2 linked regions of the Mytilus edulis genome follow. The protein of the gene in region 1 purifies or fractionates together with the protein of each later gene. This does not show direct contact. Links are inferred from orthologs where the notes say so. Each region holds a gene or a part of one and is shown in the gene's direction. Other genes may lie near its edges. The genes, in order: chromatin target of PRMT1 protein-like and enhancer of rudimentary homolog.

Evidence for each region.
Region 2: the proteins of chromatin target of PRMT1 protein-like (region 1) and enhancer of rudimentary homolog purify together in Homo sapiens (affinity purification with mass spectrometry; 3 studies listed by BioGRID and IntAct, with this or other methods). This does not show direct contact. The link is inferred for Mytilus edulis from reciprocal best matches to the Homo sapiens genes CHTOP and ERH.

The regions. Positions count from the first base shown.
Region 1 is NC_092354.1:21,882,695-21,895,336, forward strand, and holds the start of chromatin target of PRMT1 protein-like, read left to right. Parts: upstream 1-7,856; 5' UTR 7,857-7,995; intron 7,996-9,487; 5' UTR 9,488-9,501; coding exon 9,502-9,560; intron 9,561-12,477; exon of another isoform or gene 12,478-12,642. Other genes in the region: meiosis-specific nuclear structural protein 1-like, read right to left, coding at 38-267, 1,603-1,705, 3,373-3,500, 4,197-4,412, 7,445-7,447. UniProt on the Homo sapiens protein: Plays an important role in the ligand-dependent activation of estrogen receptor target genes. May play a role in the silencing of fetal globin genes.
Region 2 is NC_092346.1:72,439,907-72,451,976, reverse strand, and holds the start of enhancer of rudimentary homolog, read left to right. Parts: upstream 1-7,300; 5' UTR 7,301-7,405; coding exon 7,406-7,408; intron 7,409-12,003; coding exon 12,004-12,070. Other genes in the region: zinc transporter ZIP9-like, read right to left, coding at 823-1,017, 1,287-1,392, 7,084-7,179. UniProt on the Homo sapiens protein: May have a role in the cell cycle.

The DNA.
Region 1 (12,642 bases):
CCCCCCCCCCATAAAAATCAAATGGTAGCTCCCTTACCTTTGGTCTTCCTCATAAATCTTCCTGACGATTTCGTCAATCATGAGTTTCTCCTTGAGGAATTCCTCGTAGGCCTGTTGTTTCTTGTGCTCCTGTTCCTCAAGCTGTCTCTCTAGTTCCTGTTGGTATCTGATCTGTTCTTTATATCGTTCTACCTCCCTCTGTTTCTCAGCCTCCCCTGCTCTCTCGTGTTCTTCCTTCATCTGTCGGGATATCTCGGAATCCCGTTTCTGAAAAAGAGCACACATGAAAGATTATATTAAAATTAAGTTAACATTCTTTCATTCTTTAGGCCATTTTTACCTTTTCTTTAGGCCATGGAAAATTCATTGTTGGTTTCCCCTAACATGGGAAAATTTTATAGACCCAGCGGTAAACAAATGGCCCGGTTGGATTAGGGGAAACCATCAATTATTTTTCCATGGCCTTATTTTATTGAACAATATTCTCTATTCTTTATAATTTGGTACCTAATAAATCACTATTCAGTATTCTTGATTCCTCCCCCTTTATTCTCCTATATTGTCTATTATATCTATTCTGCAAACCCTCATCCAGACCCTCATACCCATTTGTACTCTTGTCAATGAATTTCATGTTCTAATTATAATTCATTAGTTGGGGATTTTTTCTAGATCTGTTGAATTTTCACTGACTCAATGGGGAAACAAAGGTGGATAGTATTCCAAATAATGAAAAGCATTTGTTGTTACTCTTGGTAAAGGGTTATTTTCGTGCAACGTGATCACCGTTTTTTATTTCACGTTCAACGTGTTTTACTTTTTTATTTGACGTTCAGTCGTGCAAGACGGGTGCCTCGTTCAAAGGGTTCTGCTTATTTAATTTTACGTGCATTGTGATTTTCAATGTCTTATTTTGCGTGCTCGGTATTTTTCAAATAAAATTCAAACACTTGGCAGGGATTGTCAAGAAATTCTTTTTAAAAGCCGTAAACCAATTATATCATAAATGTGTATACTAAATAGGGAATATCAAGTAAAACAAAGAGTTAATATATACAAGACAGTAACTCAGTCACAAAAGGTTCAAATAAAAGTATTTATTTTTCGTGCAACGTTCATTACAGAAATTATTTCACGTTCAACGTGAAATTATGTCTTATTTCACGTTTTTTTCGTGCAAGCACCCCCTCTTTACCACCCTCTTATAATTATATGCGCAGGAGAAATTGTTCAAATTATCATGGGGAGACAATTTCAATAATTTCTGATTGGTTCAAATAACAGATGAGAATATCATATTACCTTTAAGTTACTAAAGGGAGATAATTTACAAATTGAGCCTGTTGGAGCACTAATTGTTTGTAGTTGTTTTGTTGTTTTCCTTTTGTTTGTATATTTCTTTCTTTCTGAGGAGTATAGATAAGTTCTATTATTGATGTGGTCTGTTGTACTGTGTAGTAATTTTGAAAATTCCAGTTATCAATTTTTATGTATTTCTAGGAAAGCCCTGGTCAAACTCAAAAGTCCTTATAAACTCTTGAATATAAAAGTGTAAAGTGGTTGCAAAAAAAACATATCATGCATCATTAAATAAATAATTACCATCTTATCAAATTTCAGTGCTTCTTTCTCAGCGATTTGTGCTGATCGTTCTTTGTTCATGTAAGCTGCCTTAAGTTTGGATTCCAGCTCTCGAAGTTCAAGACTACAAAGATATATCAAAATTGATTGAACAAAGCATGAAATGCAAAGGAGTTCAGTAAGACCCCTTTTTGGCCCCACAATTAAGCAGTTTTGCAAAATTGTGAAAATGTAATCTTTTAGCTATTTTTTGGAAAGTAGAATGCTTCTGCTACATAAATATGTGCTATTTTTGACAATACAATGCACATATATCGTGTACTAGCATCATAAAGTCATGCTAAATTACTGAAATCTTCATAATTATAGCATTTTAGTTAAATTTTAGATGGTTTCCGTCTTAAATGAAAGTGGCCGCATTCGTGTTCATTCATAATATTGAAATGTAAGTTGTATTTGATGATAATACATAACATATATAAAGGTTGAGGATGAACACGGATGCGGCCACTTTCATTTTTGACGAAAACCATCTGAAAAGTGACGTTTTTTGGCATATTTGATAGATTTTTCATATTTAAGCTTCAATCGGAGCGTTTTTAATGACTGAATCAGTTAAAATATTTAGCATAAACTAATCGAATCAATTAAAATAGACATTTAAGTGTTTAAAAAGTGTCCTAAATATCTCGTTAGACGAAACTGAAATTTGGGGCCAAAATCGGCCCTTACCAGACCTACTCCTTTCTTAGGTAAGAAAAAGATGACCAGTGTAAAAATCATAACATGATAAAATTCATGGTTTTAAATTACAATTTACATCATAGTGCAGATGCAGATATTATGATTATCTCCCATAGCACAAAATATACTTAAATAATTTCTTTTTTTTTGTATTCAGATATAGTTTGTAGTGCTCTTTAGCTAGTAGCTTGAAAAATGTCATACAAAATAGTGAAACTGGTACTCTTACAAAACAGTTTTTTTTTCAAATTTGCAGTGAATTGAAAGACCTTAACAGATCTGCATATTTTTATTGTGTGTGTCATACATGTATCTGTGACAATCTTTTTTAAAATGATGGAAAATAAATTTGAATAGATGACATCTCATTGCTGTGACGATAAATTTTGACAAGATCCTCAGGCCAAATAAAAATATATGTGTGGTTCCAGTTACATACTTTTAAAAAATAGGGTCAGTAGGTCGGCAAATTTTTTTAATTTTTTTTAATTTTTATTTTTGAATGTCAAAATCCGGAAAAAAATTGTGTGTTTACCGAAATTGTTTCCGGTATTATACACGCCCCAAACGGAAGTCCACCATTTTTACATGTGTTTGGTTGTAAAATAAACAGTCATGATACGTTTTTAGTTAATTTTGTTGCATTCTGTTATGAATTGTTGCATTTTAGCCACAACAGAAACTTGTGATGGAAATTCAGATGACAGAAATCTATGAATTTAATTATTTTAATTCACAATCCTCAAAATTTGATCGTTTGAAAATTTATTTTTCAGAAATGAAAAAAAAAAGTTCTTGGGTCGGGGGGTTTTAACTAGGGTTGGTCGGGTTACTGGAACCACACATATATTTTTATTTGGCCTCAGCAAGGTAAGAATTTTCTGATATATAAGAAATAGAGCAAAGAGAAAGACAGGAAATTAAAAATGAAAACTTTAAAATTGAGAATGAAAATAATTGACCAAATGGTATAATAATCAACCAAAGAATATTTAGTCAACATCTAGAATATTGACAGCTTATAAAGTCACTGTAAATTATTTGTACCTTGTTTCCCTAATTTGTTGTCTCATTTTTTCATCTCTCATTCCTTCTAATTTGTGTTTCTCCATTTCCTGAGCCAATCTTTCTTCTTGTAACATTTGTTCTTCTCTGATCAATCTATCTCTCTGTGCCTAAAATGTGTATGTAAATAAAATACAGTATATTCCTTTATTTTCTTGGTTACCAATTTTGCGTTCTGATGATTAATCAATGGATATGAAACAATGTCAGTAAATCAAAATATTTCCTTTTCAAGACTTAAAAACTTTTTATTCTATAACTTTAAAATATAAAATAAATTAAACATGTTTTTGTTCATACATTTTTTGTAACAATACATATTAAAGGTGTAAAAAAATTGAAACTGGAAGTGAACGTCCTGTATGAGCCCATGGGCCAATACAGCTTTTTTTGCCCTGTTCCTAAAGCAATATTAACTCTTGATTTATATCAACGGTGGAATGTTTTCAGGATTGCGCAGACTGATTTGCTCATATCATTCAATAATCTGTGGTTCCAATGTAGTATGTGCTTTGTTTAATTTTTACCACTAGCCATGGTCTGCCCTATATTTTAGACTTAGTAGCTTTTACCAGTTGCATTGACATTTCAATAAAATATACATTGTGTATGTGCATAAAGTAATTTTATATTACTTTTTTTGTTGTTATGAATAATGTCTGTGAGTTAAAAAGATCGTGCGATCAAAACCCTTTCAACAGGTTACTAAATAATTGTTTTCAAATGTAGTTTTTTTTGTAGGAAACATGTAAATGTAATGAAAGTTATTCTTATGAAAAGGTATTACAACTAAGTTTAGCACAAACCTTGAGAATTGTGTCCTCCATATCTCTCTCTTTCTGCTCCATCATCATTCGTCTGATGTAACGTTTCTCTGAGAGTTTTTCTTCATTACTCATATTTGCCTCCAACAACTTCTGGGTGCCCAACTGACGGATGGTGTCTTCCCGTACTTCTTCATGCCTACGGTAGTTCTGTAACTGCCGTTCCCTCTCAGAAGCAGTCAGTCTCCGAACAGTTGTCTGAAATATGAACAATTGATTTTTAATAAAAAAAAAATATGAAGATTTATCATAGCATTACACTAACATGACTAAGGAGTTCAGGCTCAATTTATTTTTCATATTACATTAGAAAACAAAAAATATTGCATCGTATAAGTTCTATTCTGTTTCAAAGTGATGCAATTTTTCCTTTAAAAATGCCTTGTACCAAGTCAGGAATATGGCCATTGTTATATTATAGTTCGTTTCTGTGTGTATTACATTATAACGTTGTGTCGTTTGTTTTCTCTTATCTTTGTGTGTAAATTCACATTGCGATAAGACGTGTCACGGTACTTGTCTATCCCAAATTCATGTATTTGGTTTTGATGTTATATATATATATGCAGTGATTTTGCTAGCGCTCGTCACTTTCGTATTTTACGAAAGGGTTTTCTCATTGACGAAAGTATTTCAAATCAATTTCGTCACTTTAATTTTGAAAGTGTAAAAAAAAATTCGCAATAAAAACTATAAATCTACCTGTCTTCATGTTTTTGACAAGTTTATGACCTCCAGGTAATTAACATTTTCAACAGGTGTGATTACAACTAATCCGCTCAGATGGGTCACTTATCCGTAATTTATTAATTAACCCCATAATTGAATGACCATCATAATTATTTCCCCAGGAAAATCAGTCAGTCGGCATTTCAACAACCAGGAGTATAATTTCGTCATTTAATCAAAAATGTAACAATGCCGGACAGTTCGCATTTGAATTTCAATATTTCCCAAACGATCACAATCTGAAGTTAGTTTATCGTAGATTCGTCATTCGAAGGCATTTTCGTCATATTTGATTTAAATTTTCATCAAAAACTTTCAACAATTTCCATTTAAAATAAAGAACTTTCATGTGTTTATTCAAAAAGTTCACGAGAAATGTTTTAAACAGGTGCTTCCTGTATTGTGTTCTACGCATGCGTGAAAGTATCCTTTTGACTATATAGACATTAAAAACGTAAAATACGAAATCATTTAGAATCAATTAAACGAGAGAGACAAATATATATCTCTTACTAAAGGAATTTAAATCGAAAAATAATAATTTCCTGATGAATCCGGACTCGTTTTGAATTTATTATCCACGTGTCACTTCCCGTTTTCGTTTCATTTTAAAACCGAAAGTAGTAAACGTGATCTATTGTTGATTTGTTTACAACCTCCTTTCAGTCATTATAATCGTTCCAAAAAGGATATAATACATTTCCATCTTGATAGAAATGATATCCAAATATCGACTAAGATGTTTTATAAGGATAATGATTATGCAGTGAAATAATCATTGCAAATTGATTTCTGCTGTGATTCCTTGTTTAAAAAAAATAGAATCCAACTTTTGTTGTTCAGGAATGACCCCTGGAATAAACTGAAGAGAAATTGTGATTCCATGTCAGAATCTTTCATAATAATAGCCAATACAGTCAAATCATACAATAACTGCCAATCATGCTGGTGCCTCAATCCCTTAAAATCTGACTAAGTCAAAAGATGAAGCTAGTACTATACATCATTGTTCTATTGCTTATACACAAAATAAGGTTGATTTTAATAGCGCGCAAAAGTGACTAAAGCCCTCAAAATCCTAGCTTAAACCCTGTATATATGTTATATTTGTTATTCTCGTGGGATTTTGTCTATGTGTGTTACATTTTAGTGTTATGTCGTTGTTCTCCTCTTATATTTAATGTGTTTCCCTCGGTTTTAGTTTGTTACCCCGATTTTGTTTTTTGTCCATGGATTTATGAGTTTTGAACAGCAGTATACTACTGTTGCCTTTATTTACACTGTTAAACTTTTAAATCTGTAATGCACATGTACATGTATATGGTTACAATTATGTCTTAAAAACATTCTTTGTTAGAAACAGGACTTTTTAATTATTTCAATTCAAAGAAAAAAAACATCGCTATGAAATAAATCAAACTTTATGATTCAGATTGCCTCTTTTTTTTTTACACTAATGGCGCCATATGTATCTAGATCACAAACCATAAAACATAAACTTTTTTGACTGAAAGGTGTAAATACAGCACTGGTGTGAATACCAATCATAACAATTCAAACCATTTATACAGCAAAGGAATGATAAAAATGTGCCTTGCAACACGATTATAGCATATGCATGTATATTGAACATTTATAAATCCTTCGCATAGCTAATTCTAACGGAAACTTGACTGAGCAAACATTTGTAATAGACCAGAATTGTATCTTTATTTGTGATCCCCAACAGTAGAACTATTCTTGTCATTCAGTGTTGTGAAGTCTGCTTACTATATGTACAGTAAAGGCTAGTGCGCCGCTCAATTGTAACGTCAGTATAGTTGTTGTACGTCATTTAGATTTCAATACATCATGTACATTATCAAACTAGCAAGACGTTTATTTTTTTACTTCATGCCATTGTACAAAATTTAGACACTACACACAATATACAGTAACAACGACATGGTCACAGATGTTCACATAAAATTTCATAGGAAAATATTGGACAGCACAAACATGACAAAGACAAAGTAAATTCAGTGTCCTGTAATGGCGAACAAAAAGTGATAAGTTGAATTTTATTCATGACAGGTCTGACAAACTGTACATGTGTTGCCAAATATGCAACAAAAGAATAAAATCATCGTTAGGCAACGTTGGACCTTGCACTTTTATAATGTATGCATTGTCTACCTCAGTTTGAATAAGTCATGATTTTTAAACTGGATATTATTGTGGATAGTACACATAGCTCTAACCATAAACCTAACCCGGAGCTAAAATATCCCATAACCTAACCATAACCATGAATGAACCTTCACTTATTGGCCTAAAACTCTAAAGTATAATGGTATATGGACCCTTTTTGAGTGGCATTCTTTCAACTTTGACTTTATCTTTGGTAGTAAATAATGAATTTGAAAGTGCCAGCAATTTGAAATGTAAAGGATACGATGTAAGTCTATATTTCTAATGTCAAATTTATTCAATTATTGCTCGGACTTCTTCAAAACTCTTACCATTTTGTTGGAATGTTCAAAGTTCTTCAAGAGCTGCACACTGAATGTTGTTGAGCCTAGAAACAACCGTTGCTATGGGTAAGTTAGATTGGTGTGACACAATATTTTGATATATTTTTTGCGATTAAATCGAATCAAAATAACACAATTTATTGATATTTTGACGAATACAAATTTAAATGTTATTATCTATCTCAGAAATTATTAGTTTTTGAAAAATTCAAACAATTCTAATGAGAACATTTAAAAACACCCCTATGGTATTTTGTTGATTCGTCTATTCTCTTCGGTATCACAGTTTACCAAAATTTTGAGTTTTAAAATTTTATATTTCATTTTCCTGTTTAAAAAAACATATTTTAGTAAGAACATAAATAGTCTAATAAAACAATTTCACATTTTTTTTATCATTATTTAGAGCCGAATAGTTCTAATATTTTATGAACTTCCGGTATCGGGTTGTTGACGTTTTATGTTTTGCAGATTCAGAATCATCATCCAAATTCATCGAAGTCAATTCGAAACTTTAGCAGATTTTAACAAAAAATTATGTATCCTTATCTACAAATTCATATTTTGGTTCATGTTTTACAGATTACAAAGTTGATCATGACTAAGAAAATCAAATAAGCCGACTCCGATGGCAAAAGTTGTCGGTGCAAGTTGTCAACCCTATCGAATTACGATAGGGCTTTAAACGGTCTCCCTTTTCTCCACAAAGGGTTATAACTACTCCCAATTGTTTGAAGTTGATCAACCCATAAGAGATACATTGGCAATAAAACATTTATCGTGCAGAAATAGGGTATCGGGATTGTTCGCCCTAATAACATGTTCGCCCTGGGTACGTTCGCCCTGGGTTCGTTCGCCCAGAGAGTCCGTTCGCCCTACTAAAAAATATTGATATTCAGAGCATTGAAGTTGAAAAAACTTATTCAGATATTTCTATGGTATATATTCTTGAAATTTATGGAAACAGGGAAATATTTAAAAGTTTATGGCTTGTATAGGATCATTAATTGTTCAATGACAAAATAATTCGGATCACTGATTATTGTGATACTTGTCTTTTGATGGATTATTAATAAAAATCAAACGTTTTGTTTTGATAAAATATTCAGCTTGAAATTAATAAACACAATGATGTACTAACTGTAAATCATGAAACGGATTTACAAGTTCATTATTATACTCGGAGACAGTCCTAGTCTCAGTTATACTGCATACATTCATGATTGACTGAATACAATTATTTTGTTAACAAATATCAATAAAGAGAAATACATCATGTATACCAATTCTACTCTGTAAATCAAAGAGAAAATGATAAAATGATTGCGGCAATATAAATATTCTGTCAATTTGTTAACAAACTTTAACATATTTTGTTCAAATACTTAAAATTATGCGACTGGACAACAAATAGAAAAAAATAAAAATCTGGGCGAATGGACCCTGGGCGAACAGGTATCAGGGCGAACGGACCCGGATTCCAGAAATAGATACATAGATTGATTGAATAATAAACAGTAATGGATTTGGGGTTTCCAGCACACATTTTATATTCCCAAGGCAAAAAACTGAGTAGTGTTATGAAAGAAAAGCCTAGCCTATGCTGTCATAAAACTTTCTAGAACTTGGACTCAAAAATCAACCAATCTAAATACTGGTTTTAGTCAAATTAGTGTTTTGTTCACAAATTTTTAGTCCGAGATTACTCTGACGTCCAACGGCTGTTTTGCCAGACAAGCTTGGGCCGTGCAACGTCAGAGCTCGTCCCATATCAAAAAGTGGGTATTTGCCCACCCAAAATAGATGCGCTGCTTCGTCGCTTCTGATGCCAACTGACGGCCTTGGAATTATATAAATTGGGCATCAATCTATTCATTTAAGAACCAGAATGAAAAAAAAACATGTATGGCAGGTCTACGACTAGCGTCAAATATACAAACACATAATTTTTTTGTATTTTTGCCTGAAACAAGTATGAATTAAATATGTTTTACTTCTAGTCATTTCTAATTTCCTTAACAGTTTATTCAGATAATTAAAGAAAGATGGCGGTTCCAGCTAAGATTGTTCTGAAGAGTACCACTAAGATGTCTTTGAATGATAGGTGAGAAGGAGGAGGAGCATGTTCCTGGCAGAGATTGCCTGGAAAAGTTGGAAGGAAAGAAATTTAGAGAGAATTTTTTCTCTCTATCAGTCATTTCTCTAATGACCAAAGGTCATTTCTATTGACCAAAGGTCATTTCTATTGACCAGAAGTCTTCTCTGTGGCTAGATGCCTTCTTTCAAGGCTAGTGCAAAAGAGAATGACAACAAAAAGCTATGCAAGCCAAAATGAAAAAATGCCACTGCACAAATGTGCAATTGGGCTCAAAACCTGATTTTGCCACTTAATATGTTAAATGAATCAGATTGCATGCTTGCATGCTAGTCTAACAATACACATGTTTTACATGTATGGTTAAAGTAACTAGTTATATCCTGTTGGCCACAGGTGAAAAAGGACAACAACTAGTGTCAAAGAGGCTGAAATTTGACAAGTGGCAGAAATTTGACAAGTGGCAGAAATTTGACAAGTGGCAAAACAGACAGAGTTGCAATACATGGCAAAAAGTCTTGAGAAAAGCAATAGTAAACCACAAGCACCGAGCAGTGCCATTGGATCATGTGGATAGCAAAATAACAAAAATCCAGTTACTATATTGAACTTTTCTATGCATGAATGTACAAGACTAGATTTTCTAGATTTGAAAAAGCTTCACTTTAGATATTTTCTTGCATGTTTTTTTGCTAAAAGTTAATGTCGTATATTAAAGTAATAATGGTTAGAAAAATCCGATTTCCTATTTTAAACTCATATATATAAAGTATAGTCGAAAGCAATAATCAAATGACTTTTCCTGAAATTCAGTTTGAATTTGTTTTTCTTATGTTTAATTAAGGTAGCACAATACAAAGATTTGTTCACTCCCAATCGGATAACTTTAAACTGATGTAATTCATTTAATCCTTCTTTATATATTATAAATGAGGTACCAAAAGAAAGAAGAAAGATTCATCTTTCAAATGGTGATAATTTCATTATGACATAATTATTACATAATTAATTATTATGTAATAAGTTGCTATATTGTGATGTCCACGCTTGAATGAATTTAGCGTCTTTGTTCTTCATAGCATCCCAAATTATTTAACAGATTCTGTTACAACACAGCTTGACCTCCAAAACTGTGTCTCAGATTTCCAAAAACATCAATAGAACAAATTTTATACCCAGTTGAATTTAGTGGTCTCTTATGAATTATTGTTGCAAATTTCATTGTAGATTTATGAGAGAATGAAATACAATAGGAAAAATCTGAGACACAGTTTTGGAGGTCAAACTGTGTTGTTCAAGAATCTATAAAATATTTTGGGATGCTATGAATAACAAAGAAGTTAAATTCATTCAAGTATGGACATCACAATATGGCAACTAATTACATAACAATTAATTATGTAATAATTATGTCATAATGAAATTATCACAATTTGGAAGATTAATCCTTCTTCTTTCTTTTGGTACCTCATTTATAAAATTTAAAGAAAGATGAGTGGAATTACATCAGTTTAAAGATGTCTGGTTGGGGATGAAAAATCTTTGTATTGTGCTACCTTAATTTGACAATTAATTTTGAATTATATTTTTAGACAAAGTGTAAAGTGTAGTATGGTGTCAAACAGTCGAAGAGAAATTAATTTTAATATTTAAATTTGAATTATTAATTGAAAATTATTAAACAGTCTTATGAAAATACTTTTCTTCTGAAGGGGAAATAACTCTTTTCGTTGATATTTTTCTTCAGTTATTTTCATGCAATGGTCACATTGATTTTCTTTCAAACCTATGGGATCAATCATGGCTACTTTATTTCATCTAAGTCGTAAGTTCTATCCAATAACTTCTCTAGTGGTGACATTTTAGTTCCTGTTTTCTGTCACATCATTCTGTTGTCACGTGACCTCTTTCACATGATTTCTACTATCACATGACCTTTCACATGATATCTGCAGATTTTATGTCAAATTTATACATGTGAAGTTCATGTTCTGTCTAATTTGATGTTCTATCTTTTATTATTCACTTTTCTATCTCAAGATCAGTTCGGCATCTCGTTAAATGTTGAAATGATATCTAGCGATTTGTATCTCAAGATCATTTCGGGTGAGACAGTCTCTAGCATTATAATCAAAAGTGAGTCTCTCACAAATTTTTTTTATGAGCAAGTCACATTTTAACCAAAGTTTCTGGTGATGATCTTTCTGTCTGATGCTCATACTTTGTAAAGAGTTTTATGTCACAAAATTTTGCCTGGTGACATGTTTTGTTTCACAAGACATTTTCTGATGATCTCATGCCATCAGATATCTTTAAAACTGCTCTCTTGATTTATCATTATTGTTCAAAGTTGTTTCCAATTTCAGTTCGTGTAGGTATTCTTATTTTCATACTTCAATGTTAGTGGATCTTTTGTCCTACTTTTTCATTATTGCTGTTTTCAAACATTTTAGAATTGTGTATGGTACAACTCCAGGCCAAGACAAGCTGTACTTTGACCTATTATTGTTAACTTTTTTTGGTTTAAAGTTATAATTTCTGACACAGTAACATATTAGAAGAATAATTTCTGACACAGTTAGTAACATATTAGAGGAATAATTTCTGACACAGTTAGTAACATATTAGAGGAATAATTTCTGACACAGTTAGTAATATATTAGAGGAATAATTTCTGACATAGTAACATATTAGAGGAATAATTTCTGACACAGATAGTAACATATTAGAGGAATAATTTCTGACACAGTTAGTAACATATTAGAGGAATAATTTCTGACAGTAATATATTAGAGGAATAATTTCTGACACAGTTTGTAACATATTAGAGGAATAATTTCTGACACAGTTAGTAACATACTAGAGGAATAATTTCTGACAGTAATATATTAGAGGAATAATTTCTGACACAGTTTGTAACATATTAGAGGAATAATTTCTGACACAGTTAGTAACATACATTGTATTAGAGGAAAAACAGGAAACTAGTGTACAATGTTTTATGATATTAATATTGATGATAGTTTTATAGTCATGACAATGTTACAAAAATTCTAATGCCTCATAATCCAGTTTCTGTATGGTGTCAGTA
Region 2 (12,070 bases), on another chromosome or scaffold:
CATAGAAAGAATCCAATGAGTTTCAAATTAATTAATAAGCAGGGAATCCAGAACAACCACGCATTTGATACCCCTTGAAATCAAGAAAACTATACGCATGCGCATTAATACATAAACAAACCCGCGACTTGCGATTTGGAACAAGAACGTTTAATTTATGATATGATGAATGAGTCTCAATTTCTTTATGGGAGTACAGTATCAGTTTCATAACGGTAAAATATAGAAAACTCCACTTCAGTTCTTATATGACAGAAATAGAATTATCGAATTCAAAGAACTCTCGCATTTATCAAAACTGGGGAATTCCCTCTGACGTGTTTCTAAATTTATAAAAACACTAAATATAAATACTGCTTAATTCTGATTTTCCATGTTGTTAAAAACACGCATATAAGTCAAGGGAAAAATCAAACATGAAGATTATGAGAAGAACATTACAGGAAAGTTGTTTATGTTCAATACTTTTGCTTGTTTTTACCTTTTAAAGCAAGACAATCATAAGAATCTGAGATGTTGCTGAATGTTTAGAATAAAACGGTTGACGTGAGGGAATGAGCCCTGAGTCAACGGTAAAAGTCTACAGATTGCTTAAAAGCAATCGTATCCCAAAAACAATTTTCTACAAAAGAATATGAATCTTACTCTTAAAATTTACTTAAATCCTTAAGATTAACTGTTAGGGGATTGTTTACTTATTTCTGATTTGTGTTCAAAGAAATAGTTTTATTATCAATTTGCAGGAGACTGGATTTAACTGTACTTTTTTCACTGGTAGATTAAAGTTTAAAAGATTATGCATGTGCATAAATTATAGCATACCTGATGAACCATGCATATGTGATCCTCCTATTTGGTCAACCAACAACATAAATATAAATCCTATTACCAAGGTAACACCAATTATTGAATGATTATCTTCCATTCCATGGCTGTGATGGTCATGTGATGAGCCAGCCTCATGTTTATGTTCTGTTGCCTCTTTTTCAGTCGAAGAATGCTCATGATCGTGATGACCTACAAATAATCATGAATAATCAAATGATTTCCCTGATATATGTTTGTTATATTTGCATTAAAAAGTTACAGACATGGAAGAGCTGGACATTGTAGAATCTATCTTCATAAGATGTTTCCAAATATGTTATTTATATTTTTCTGGCCATAGGGTTTCACTGTAAAAAAAATCTTTCTTTTCCAAACGCACTATTTAACCTTGTTGATGAATACATTTAGATTAAAAAAAAAAAAAATAAGCACAATAATCACATTTTTTATCTACTAACCTGGACCAGCACTATACATAGCATGTATTCCTTCTGGTATAATTACAGCTAAAGCTGTTCCTACCAGTAGACCTGCACCAAACACTGTCACTAGTTTTAACTTCTCCTACAAAAGAACATGAAGAATATATTTGTCAACATGGTTGATGTCAAAATGTTAATAAATATGTCAAATTTAAAATTGATCTCTGGAACAGAAAATAATGAGATGAACACATTGAATGGTCAGACTTGATACATTACACTTTTAATATGATCTCAAAATTATTAATATTTCTATTTTCTAATATTTATATTTCCTGCATTTGCGCAGAAATCTCTTTTTCTTTCTTCATGTCTCATTTGTCAAATGACTTTGAGTAAAATATAATATATCTATCAGCCTACATTTTTTGTAGATAATATAAGAAAGAGCACAGTAACAATTTTATTAAAGTTAATCATTGATATGAAAAACATTTTTTTTTGTTACCTGATGATGAATGATAGTGTTTACAATGAAAATGATGTCATTACTAAAATCCCTGACAACAGGACCAACATAGGAAACACTTCAGTATTTCCGTTTCTTTTTCAACTGATTCTTACCTCTAAGTTAAAAGTAGTCCAAATCATTATGACATCTTAAATTTTTTTGATTTTCTTTTTGGCTTTGACGTCAAAGTAAAAAAATAAATAACCTTTCAAGACGTCACAATTATTTGGACTAAGTAAAAAATTTACTTAAATTCAAAAAATAATTCAAGTGGGGACAAAGTACAGCTTCAATATACCGTATTCAAAGCGTATATTGATCCCCGAATGTGAAAAACCATGAGGTAAATTTTTTAAGCTCAAAACTATTTTGATAAATGTTTATTTCAGATTTTTATTATTACAATGCATTAGTTAAGTGTCTCAAATTTCCAAATATAAAAAATGTGCCAAAAAACTAAAAAGCTATGATCATTTTTATCCTATCCAGTTTATCGTCATGTCATTGGTGTACAACTGGAATCAAAGAAATAATATGATTCTGAATCATTAGATTTGCATTTTATAAAATTAGTAATTTTAATGTTCTGTGGTATATTTCAGTAATTTTATTGTGATTTTTGTAGTTCTGTTGTGATTTTTGTAGTTCTGTTGTGGTATATTTTGAGTGTTCAACTTCTGTGGTATTCTGTGGTAAAAAGACGCTCTGTAAGAAAAGGTTTCTACAGGTAGGTTCAAGCCCAATACACTGTCGCATCCTACATGTACCTTGTTCAACCCTACACGCTCTCACCCAATTCTTATTCAAATTCCAGTTGAATTATTCGACATCTTTTTATATGTACATGTTTTTATGAAATAAATTATATTTTCCTGAATAAAACTTGAGGAATTATTACATGTATATGTTTTCTTTTTCATTAATTTGATGAATACTTATTTAATGTTAAAGGGAAACTTCGCAAAAAAATCAAAAATTGATATTATGTTCATTCTGTATAAAAATGTTCAAATTCATAGATATTAAAGTTTTATTCCGCTAGATAAGCGATCACCATCGATTTTAAATTTAGAGTATCCGCCATCTTGTCTTGTTTCCCGATGAATAAAAACGATATGTCTATAAACCACAAAGAAACAAAACTACAGTAACCGATGTAGTCGTAATTGCGTGTCGATATCTTGTCAATCGTACGGTTGTTTAATACGACTAACTAACTTGATACGGAAAATATTCTTACTTTTTTTAAATTACCATGGTCTGTTGTTTTTAAACTGTTGATATTGGAATTAGGTGAAAAGTCAAAGTTGAAATCATAAATAAGTGTTCATAATTCTTTAAAGTAATAAACTTTTTTCAAATATATTTTGATCTTCCCTTATCTGATCACCAGCATGGCTAAAGGTATTACTTCCAAAGGTATTGTGAGGGGTGTGAGGTGACACGTCCAGGTATTCAAGCGATTTCCTGTCGGGCTTGCAAGTTCATGCATCGTTTCACTTCTGCAGGTATTGATCAGTGTACACGGCTGATAACTTATAACTTTCCATTTTGAACTATCAGATGTATAATATACAACTCTGTCTTACTTGTCATTACTAAACTCATACGCTTGTTTATAAATAACATTTCTGGTGTAAAGAATATAATTCATAATATATAAATAATACCCAAAAAATAAGATTTGATGAAATTAAAATCTATTTAAATATTTTTTCCAAGGGTGAATTTGGGAAAATGTAATATATAGTCATTGTCAATAGTGAAGGACAGATTGGAACAGACCAGAAATATTGATTTAAAAAAATGTACGCACTTGCCGACGATTCGTTTATACGACTGGATATAAAGTTACGGAACTATAGCGCAATTTAAAATATATACGTGTATACATTGAACATAAGAAAAAAACATATATTTTGAATAAATAGGGGTAAAAGTGTTGTAAATAGACTAGCCAACGTATGCCAACAGTATGTAATCATCGAATGTCGATAGACTACAGTTGTATACCAAAAGAAGAAGAGAACCAATTTGATTTAAATACAGGTCGATGTATAACTTTTGCTTTGGTTCATTGAAGCTGTGGACCTAGGAAAATCACAGATTTATATTTCAATAAGATTGTTCTCAAACAAAGGAAGGAATTCGTCATCACAATTGTTATATATGCCACTGGACGAACACTAATTATCCCCAGGGGATGTGAATATTTTGCTGGGAAACTTTTGAGTATCAAAGTTTCAAATTAATTTCGGGATTTATTTTCTTTCTTGGTATTCAATAACCGAAAAAAGAATAAATTACTTGTTCGCTAAATAGGGATATTCTTGTCAGATAAAAGAATTTTAGTTATATTTAAAAAATAGGGAAATATGACATTAAATTGGTTCTGTCTTTTTTTAAACATCGTTAAAACGATGTGTGTCTAAGGTGAACGCCACAAGAACCCTGTAATACTAGTACGAGAGTATAGCATGTAAACATTCCTTCTCAATAATATGGTTGTATTGGAAAACTTTTCATACAGATTGACAACTCATTGTCCGATATGCATGTAATATTTGCCACATGACGCCCATAGTTCTTTCTACCATCATCACCTTATTCCTTGATATTGCTGTAAACATCGATGGTTCACACCCAAACAAAATGGGAGTAATGAACCTTCAGAGCTTCTCCGTGTTATACACTTGTGAAATATATAGACGAAATTTCTGTATTGAAATGAATCTACATCTCACAAACAGGATTTTCAAATAACGATTTTGAGTAATCACCTTACAAACCAATATAAACGTATGGCAAGATATAACCATGAAGGAATTTAGTTTTTGTCAGAACTCATCACTATATCATAAACGTATACGTATATATATGCATACAGTTTCAAATATCAAGAACAAGCGTTCGATGTCGATAGTCTGTTCTCTAACTGTTCAGAGTTAGACATGTCACTTGTTCATTCTTGGAAGCCTTCATATTCCCCGTCTAACGATGGGAACTCTTTCTGATTGTGTTGACTATAAATGCTTGTATGGTAATTCTGTCGTTTATCTGTACAAGCGGTTGCATTTCCTCTCCTTTCCCAACAAACAAACGAACGAAACGCAACTAGTCTGATTTCTCTGGAGCTCATCCTCAATGGCTCTTATACGTCAGGAAACTTACATGTATACTAATAATGATTGTTTCATGAACAACGATGTATGAACGAACTATTATAAATTCGTCAATATCTGTAATGCATGACTAAAGTATAACTTTTATTACAACTACTGTATTACTTATTTGGATTAATGACGGCTATCATGTTCAACATTGCACAACTATTATCATAGAATTTTAAAAAAAATCCTCAAAAATCCTCAAAAGATATAATGCCTTAGCTTAGATAATTAGTATTCTTTTCACAAAAAGTTCGTGTAAATGATTGTTAATTATGTAAGAATAAAATGTTAAAAAGAAACTAAAAAAAAATTATGCATGTTGTATGTTGTATTTTTTTGTCAATTAAAAACTTTAAAATTGCAATAGTTTTATTAGCATTTAAACACAGCCAGATTTGAATACAAGTTAAGAAATTCCGGTAAAGTCAATGATATCAAACAGATGTACAATGGTATATCAAATTGGGTAATATTGCATTTAGTTTTTATTAAAGATTAAAACTACTATTTTTTGCTTCATATTTGAATCTTTACGCCAATTGCCGCTAAGAAAGTAATCAAAAATTGTTTCCTTTTATTTTTATACACTTTCGGAATTACGAATCTGAATTTTATTTTCAATTAATTTACACAATTTAATTATTGTATCTTTATTCTCATCGTGTATTTAATCTTAGTGTATTAACATCATGACAGCATATACTCTAATCCTTTCTATTTATCCTTTCCAAATAACAACATTTATACCTGTGTACGCTTGAACTCACACCTGCGGCTAAATAGCTACAAGGTAAACGAATTGACCTCAAGCCGAGAAATATACAGTGACCTTTACAAAATAATATACACACTCTGCTCACACATTAGTTGCATTGAAATGATTATCAAAACAATAACGGTAAATAGAACTGAAATATTTTCAGTTCAATATCAGTAAAAATGTTCAATAAATATTTTATGAAAAAAATCTCAACAATAATTAATTAAATTTATTCAAAAACATTTACTAGAGATAATTTTATAGGAGTTTAATTCAATCAATACAAAACGGTATATATATGCATATTCACTTTCGTTCATTCTTATATTGTGGTTTATAACTTCGACCATTCGTCAGCTGTGCGCTTTTAATTACGTATATTGTCGATAAGCTATAAGAGTTAAACAGATTTTATTTTTTCCCAGAATTCAATAAATCGGGCTAATACGTCACGACCCACTCGAGAATTCAACCAAAAAAGTTACAAATACTTGATTTTCTCCGTTATTAGAAGGAATATAAATTTAAAACTTTGCAAATGTGTTTTTTATGTTAAGATGAACATAATTAGATGATAAGTAAAAAATCGCGGAATTTCCCTTTAATTATTAATGATTACTGCTAATTGGTATTTATACACAGCTAAATTGGGTTTTATTATTTTGTGTTTGAAAATCATGATTGTTGATTTTAATAACTTACTTTGATGTAATGTACTTAGCTTGGTATGCAATAACCAAAGTGTGATTAAAATTTCTTCAACCCAAAAACATAATGTTGAATGTCAATTTATCTTGAAACAATGAAAAAAAATATTTATACTATAGCAATACACTAACCAAAACATGATTAAGAATAAACAATGATTTATTTAACAAAAAATAAAAAGTCAGAATCTTACTTCATTTAATTAAGGCAATATATTTACATTTGTTCACTAACTAAAACATGATTAAAATTTATTTTAAACTCCATTACAAATCATTAAACACAAAAAGTCTTATGTACAATGTACTATACAAATCCTTGACAAAACCAAATAAAAAGGGTGCGATCGTTTTTTGGGTGCGAAAGTGAAAAGGGTTGAAAGAGAAAGGGCTCGAACATGCTTTTGGGCCAACGGACCTGTATTCGTATGAAGAAGGTTTTTTTTTACTAAATAGCCTTAATAGGATGTGATTGATGGCTTTTACTGTCCCAACCAGTCACCACGCAGTTGTTATGACACACTTCATTTTTGTAGTGATTTATTTAAAGTGGGATATCATAAAATCCTGTTGCTTAGAAAAACGTCTTTTTTTCATAAAATTTCACTTGGCTCCTAAGATTATCTGTCAGCTGTTCCCTGAAAAAAAAACTAGTATAAAAAAAAGTCAATATGTGGAAAGTAACCTCTGAAAATGTGATTGCAAGTGGTATCAGTCCTGACATGTAACAACCAATTAACATAGCAAGACAAAGTAAAAGCAGTGTCCATATTTCATCCATTTCTTGACGTTTTCTTTGGTTAGATCATAACAACAAATCGGAAAGTCGTGTCAGATATTGAAATCGAACTCGAGTTATACTGCTGAAGAATGAACGTTTATTCCGTTTCAATAAACGTTCCAGTGACTTCAGATTTTGTTATGAAAAGTCAAAAGAGATTCCGATTTATTAACCGCGCCATCTTGGATGCTGAAAGAAGCGTGTGGAAGTCCAATAATCATTCAAAATGGTAATTTTGCATTAAAGAAAAAATGCTAAAACAATTTCCCGACGTTGCTGAAGTCCAACATCGATATAATATTACAAATTTAACTTACTTTGTGATAACGAAAGTGTTTGGCACCAGAGTACAACTCTGTTGACTTGTGAAGTCTTGAATTTTGTTTTGGTACAGACACTTGGGTATAAAAGTGGTAGGGTGGCCCATTTTTACAGTGCTCCAAACATCTTATTTTATAAAAGAGATTAATTTTTCATTGATAGTTGACAGACACGATATAATATACAAAAGAAGATGTAGCCCGACTTTAAATAAAATTTACTTACTTTTACTCACTTACGTGGTATGATTGCCAATGATACAACTCTCAACAAGAGACCAAATGACAGAAATTAACATCAATAGGTCACTGGCCTTCAATAATGAGCAAAGCCCAAACTGCATAGTCAGCTATGAAAGGCCCCAAAGTAACAAATGTATAACAATTATTAATAAAACGAGAAAACGAACGGCCTTATTTACATGTATGTACTAAAACTGAAAGAAAAACAAATATGTAACAAATCTTTCTTTCATTGCTTCGTAAATTCCTCGGCCAGTGTCACAATGTAATAAAATATAAACCTTATATTTATATTAAACATTAATATAAAAGAAAAGGTGGTAAAGGGATATATTTACAGCAGGCAATTATTTATCTTATTAGTATACTTAAAAACACCTTCGCTATGTTAACATATCAACCAACGACAACCACTGAATTACAGGCTCCTGACTTGAGACAAGCACAACATACAGAAAGTCAGACATGGGGTCAATTACATTTGAAAGTAATTAATTACATTCAATTACAATTACAAAATCTTCAATTAAATTACACATTACATTTGACTTTTTTTACCAATGTAATTAATTACATTCCAATTACTTGGCAGATGTAATTAATTACTTCAATTACATTTGATTCCCAAAAATCCTCTCATTTGTCTACTAGACCAGAGATCAATGGTTAAGCACACACTTTCAGCTCTTTTAAGAGTATTTACAAGGTTATTTTTTATTTCAACCGATTTTTCATGTAGAAGTTTCGAAGATAAATGCTTTCTGCTAGGCACTTGATACTTAGTGTCAGCTTTTTCCATCAAGTTTTTAAATTCTTCACTTTCGACAATAGAGAGTGGTAAAAGATCCCCAGCTATGAACATGATAAGAGCATTTGTCATTTCTAACTGTTTTGGATCAGACGGTGAATATTTTACACTTTTTTTTATGCATTGTGTCAATGTTGGTTGAATTTCTTTATTCTCAGAATGCAGAATGTACAAATCTCTGTGTTTTCTCTGAAAATTACAAAAGGCCTTATTTAATATCTTGAAAATATTAAATTGTTTTAATTTACCTATTGAAATTTTACATTTATTAGTATAAAATATAATTGCATAAAGTTAACGTTTTCTGAAGACTATTTTATTTTTAGGTCATCAGGTTCCAGAGGCTTCCTCACAATTTTGTATAAAAATGATACCATAACATGTGTTTACTTTTGCACATGTGAAAAAAAATATTTCTGACAAAAGCCAGATTTCTCTTTGTCAAAGTGGATTTATATTTATACTGCACTAAATTATTCAGAAGGAGTTACATTCAGTTAAGATTATATTTCTGATTATTATATTATAGTTTTATCAAACTCTCCCAAACAGCAACGTACTGATCTTGTCAACTGAGACTTGTAAATTTGAACTATTTGAATAAAAAGACATCTAATTCACATGATAAAGGAAGATTATAATTAAAGACAACAATTTATCAAGAAATAATTCCGTTTTATTCAGAAAAAACAAAATCTTCTTGCAAGATTGTAAATTCGCAACTTCCGGATCCATTTCCTGTCAGGATAACATTGAAAATATTCGATTACCCCGGTTTTGAACAAATCTATCTGAATATTCTTATCAGATATTCGAGTACACGACGAAATTAACATTGAACATATAGGTAAGGGTTTGGTAGTACAGACAACTACAGCGTAAAAAATGTGCCACTTCACATGTTTCACTTCTTTACGTTTGTTACATATAAGTCAGAAGATAAAACTGAGAACATCGAATATCGATTAACTGCATCTCTTATGCGCTTTCTTTTAATCGTATTCACAATTACTTTCAAACGCAAAAACGACAAACTTTAAGTTTTATACGATGACGGAGCGAACATGAAAAAAATCCGCAAAAAAAAAAATTCTTCTAAAAAACGTCAAAAAAAGAATTTGAGTCGGCGGGTTTATTTTGGGTCGGTCGCGTTTGGGCAAACATACAATCTTTTTATTTTGGCCCTATAGGCCCTAGGGGTATATTTATCTCTCTCTAATTAGCCTTATATCTGTTTAACATAACTGTTATAAAAACAGTCATTATATAGTTTGTAATAAAACAAATAGCCAGAGGTTATATTTATTGGTTATTTAAGTCCTTGAATAAAGTTAATTATGTTAAATCAATGTCTTAAAATATCTATCTAAATCTACTAATTAAGGTCAAGACAGTGACTTCCTAGTGGTTTCTTTTAAAATTATGGCATGTGTCTACATTTTTTTTATCATTCAATACAAAATGAAGAATCTACCATGGTTGTGTTAATACAGAAAGTATACTGTGAAGGCTTTTCTTTGTCAGCTTACAACATTTGTTAAGATTATTGCTTTTAATAATTTTTTGAGAAAACACAAGATTTAATCTTTTGATCCAAAATTTCAAATGTAATTGACTTGTAATTGAAAAGTAATTGTCAATTACAGGCAATTTTGGCTATGTAATTAATTACATTCAATTACATGTAATTGAAAAAATGCTCAATTACACATTACATTCAATTACATGATAAATTGTAATTAATTACAGTCAATTACAATTACATATTTCAATTACCCCATGTCTGCAGAAAGTGGGTGGTTAAATATGTTAGCGGGATCCCAACCCTCCCCTAACTTGGGACAGTGGTGTAACAGTACAACACAAGAAAGAACTGTAAAAATCAGTTGAAAAAGGCTTAACTCATCAAGTTTCAAGTTTTTATTAAATCAGGAAAATCAATACAAGTATAATGATGTCTTCCCCCACATTAACATGATATTACATCACAAATAAATATATATAATGTATGACAAAATATCAAATCAAGGTTAAATGAATAAAATTACAAAGATTCAAAGCATAATTGTATGTAATGGCATATATTTTTTGTATCATCAATATTTTGTTGGCTAAGTAAACTAATAATGGTTTTCATAACTTTTTCAGGGCACAGATCTTGTGAATTAAAATTTAGTTTATTAAATAAATAGTTGTTTTCTATAATTTTCAAATTTTTTGCAATAAATATAAAGGAAATGTTTTTCATCCTCTATTTGATTGCAGTTCAAGCATATTCTGTTTTCTCTCTTAATTTTTGGTCTGAAATATCTACCCTTTTCAATCAAAAGAGGGTGGGAACTAATTCTTAATTTTTTAAGTTTTCTTGTTATATTAGGAGAACATTTAGATAGATACAAATAGAAATATATATAACAAAGACACAAAGTGGATGTGGCCAGGTACTTTTTTATCCCAACATTAAAAAGACAATGAATACTGAACTGAGAATACTCAGTTAAAAACAGCTAGTTCAAAGCCAATAACAACTAATAAAAAAATCATGCATCTGAGACTAAATTATCAATCAGTACGCATCCAACATCCAATGGATTTAATGTAAAACAGTCATTAACAGTCGGAGAAAAGCATGACCTTGTGCAAAGCTAAGATACAGGTATCGACAGATTGTTGATCCATGAATGTGTATATGAATATAACAATATTATTTAGTTTTCTTTTAATTTGTTGTTAACGAAATCAATATTAATACCAATAAAAACAATATTCAATGATCTTATTACGGTGTTGAATTGTTAACCTTTAAGAATTATTTAAAGGAGTGATAAGTTTACCAGGATTGTTTCTAAACTTCTGGGCACAGTATACAACATTTCCATTAAAACAAGGATGTGCTGTCCCGTTTGAAATAAGTTTTCTACTTTTAAACTTCAAAACCAAATCTTTATATCTATCACTTCATAATAGACACAGGCATAATGTTAGGTTTTAATGCTTTGCCTAACAGTTATCTAGGAAAGTGCCCTGTCGCAAGGATTTCTAACAAGCATCACACCTTAAGCCCTGCAAACAACTTATACCTTGCACAGACATTAACTAGAAGATGTTGATGTGGAAAATACCTTATAGTTGCTATTTGTCAAGACCTAACCTAGTCTCAATGGAATAAGCTTAAACAACATCAGAACCATCAGTTTTCTCCACAGGAACCTTGGCCGATGCAAGCCATCAGTCTTATTGAACACTGATCATACCATTGATAGAGTACCCAGTCAAATTGTGAGACCTTGAACAGGTAGAACACAAAATGACTTTATGTATTTGACCAATTTCGGTGGGATACTCTACATCAAAATGAAGGGGTTTCAAGTTTAGTGACATTAGTACCATGTATGTTTACGATGGAACTGTCCTTATTATATAATTTACTTGAAATAATTTTTATATTTCCAGTCACACACTATCTTATTGGTACAACCAAACAGTCGTCCAGACACAAGAACATACTCAGATTATGAAT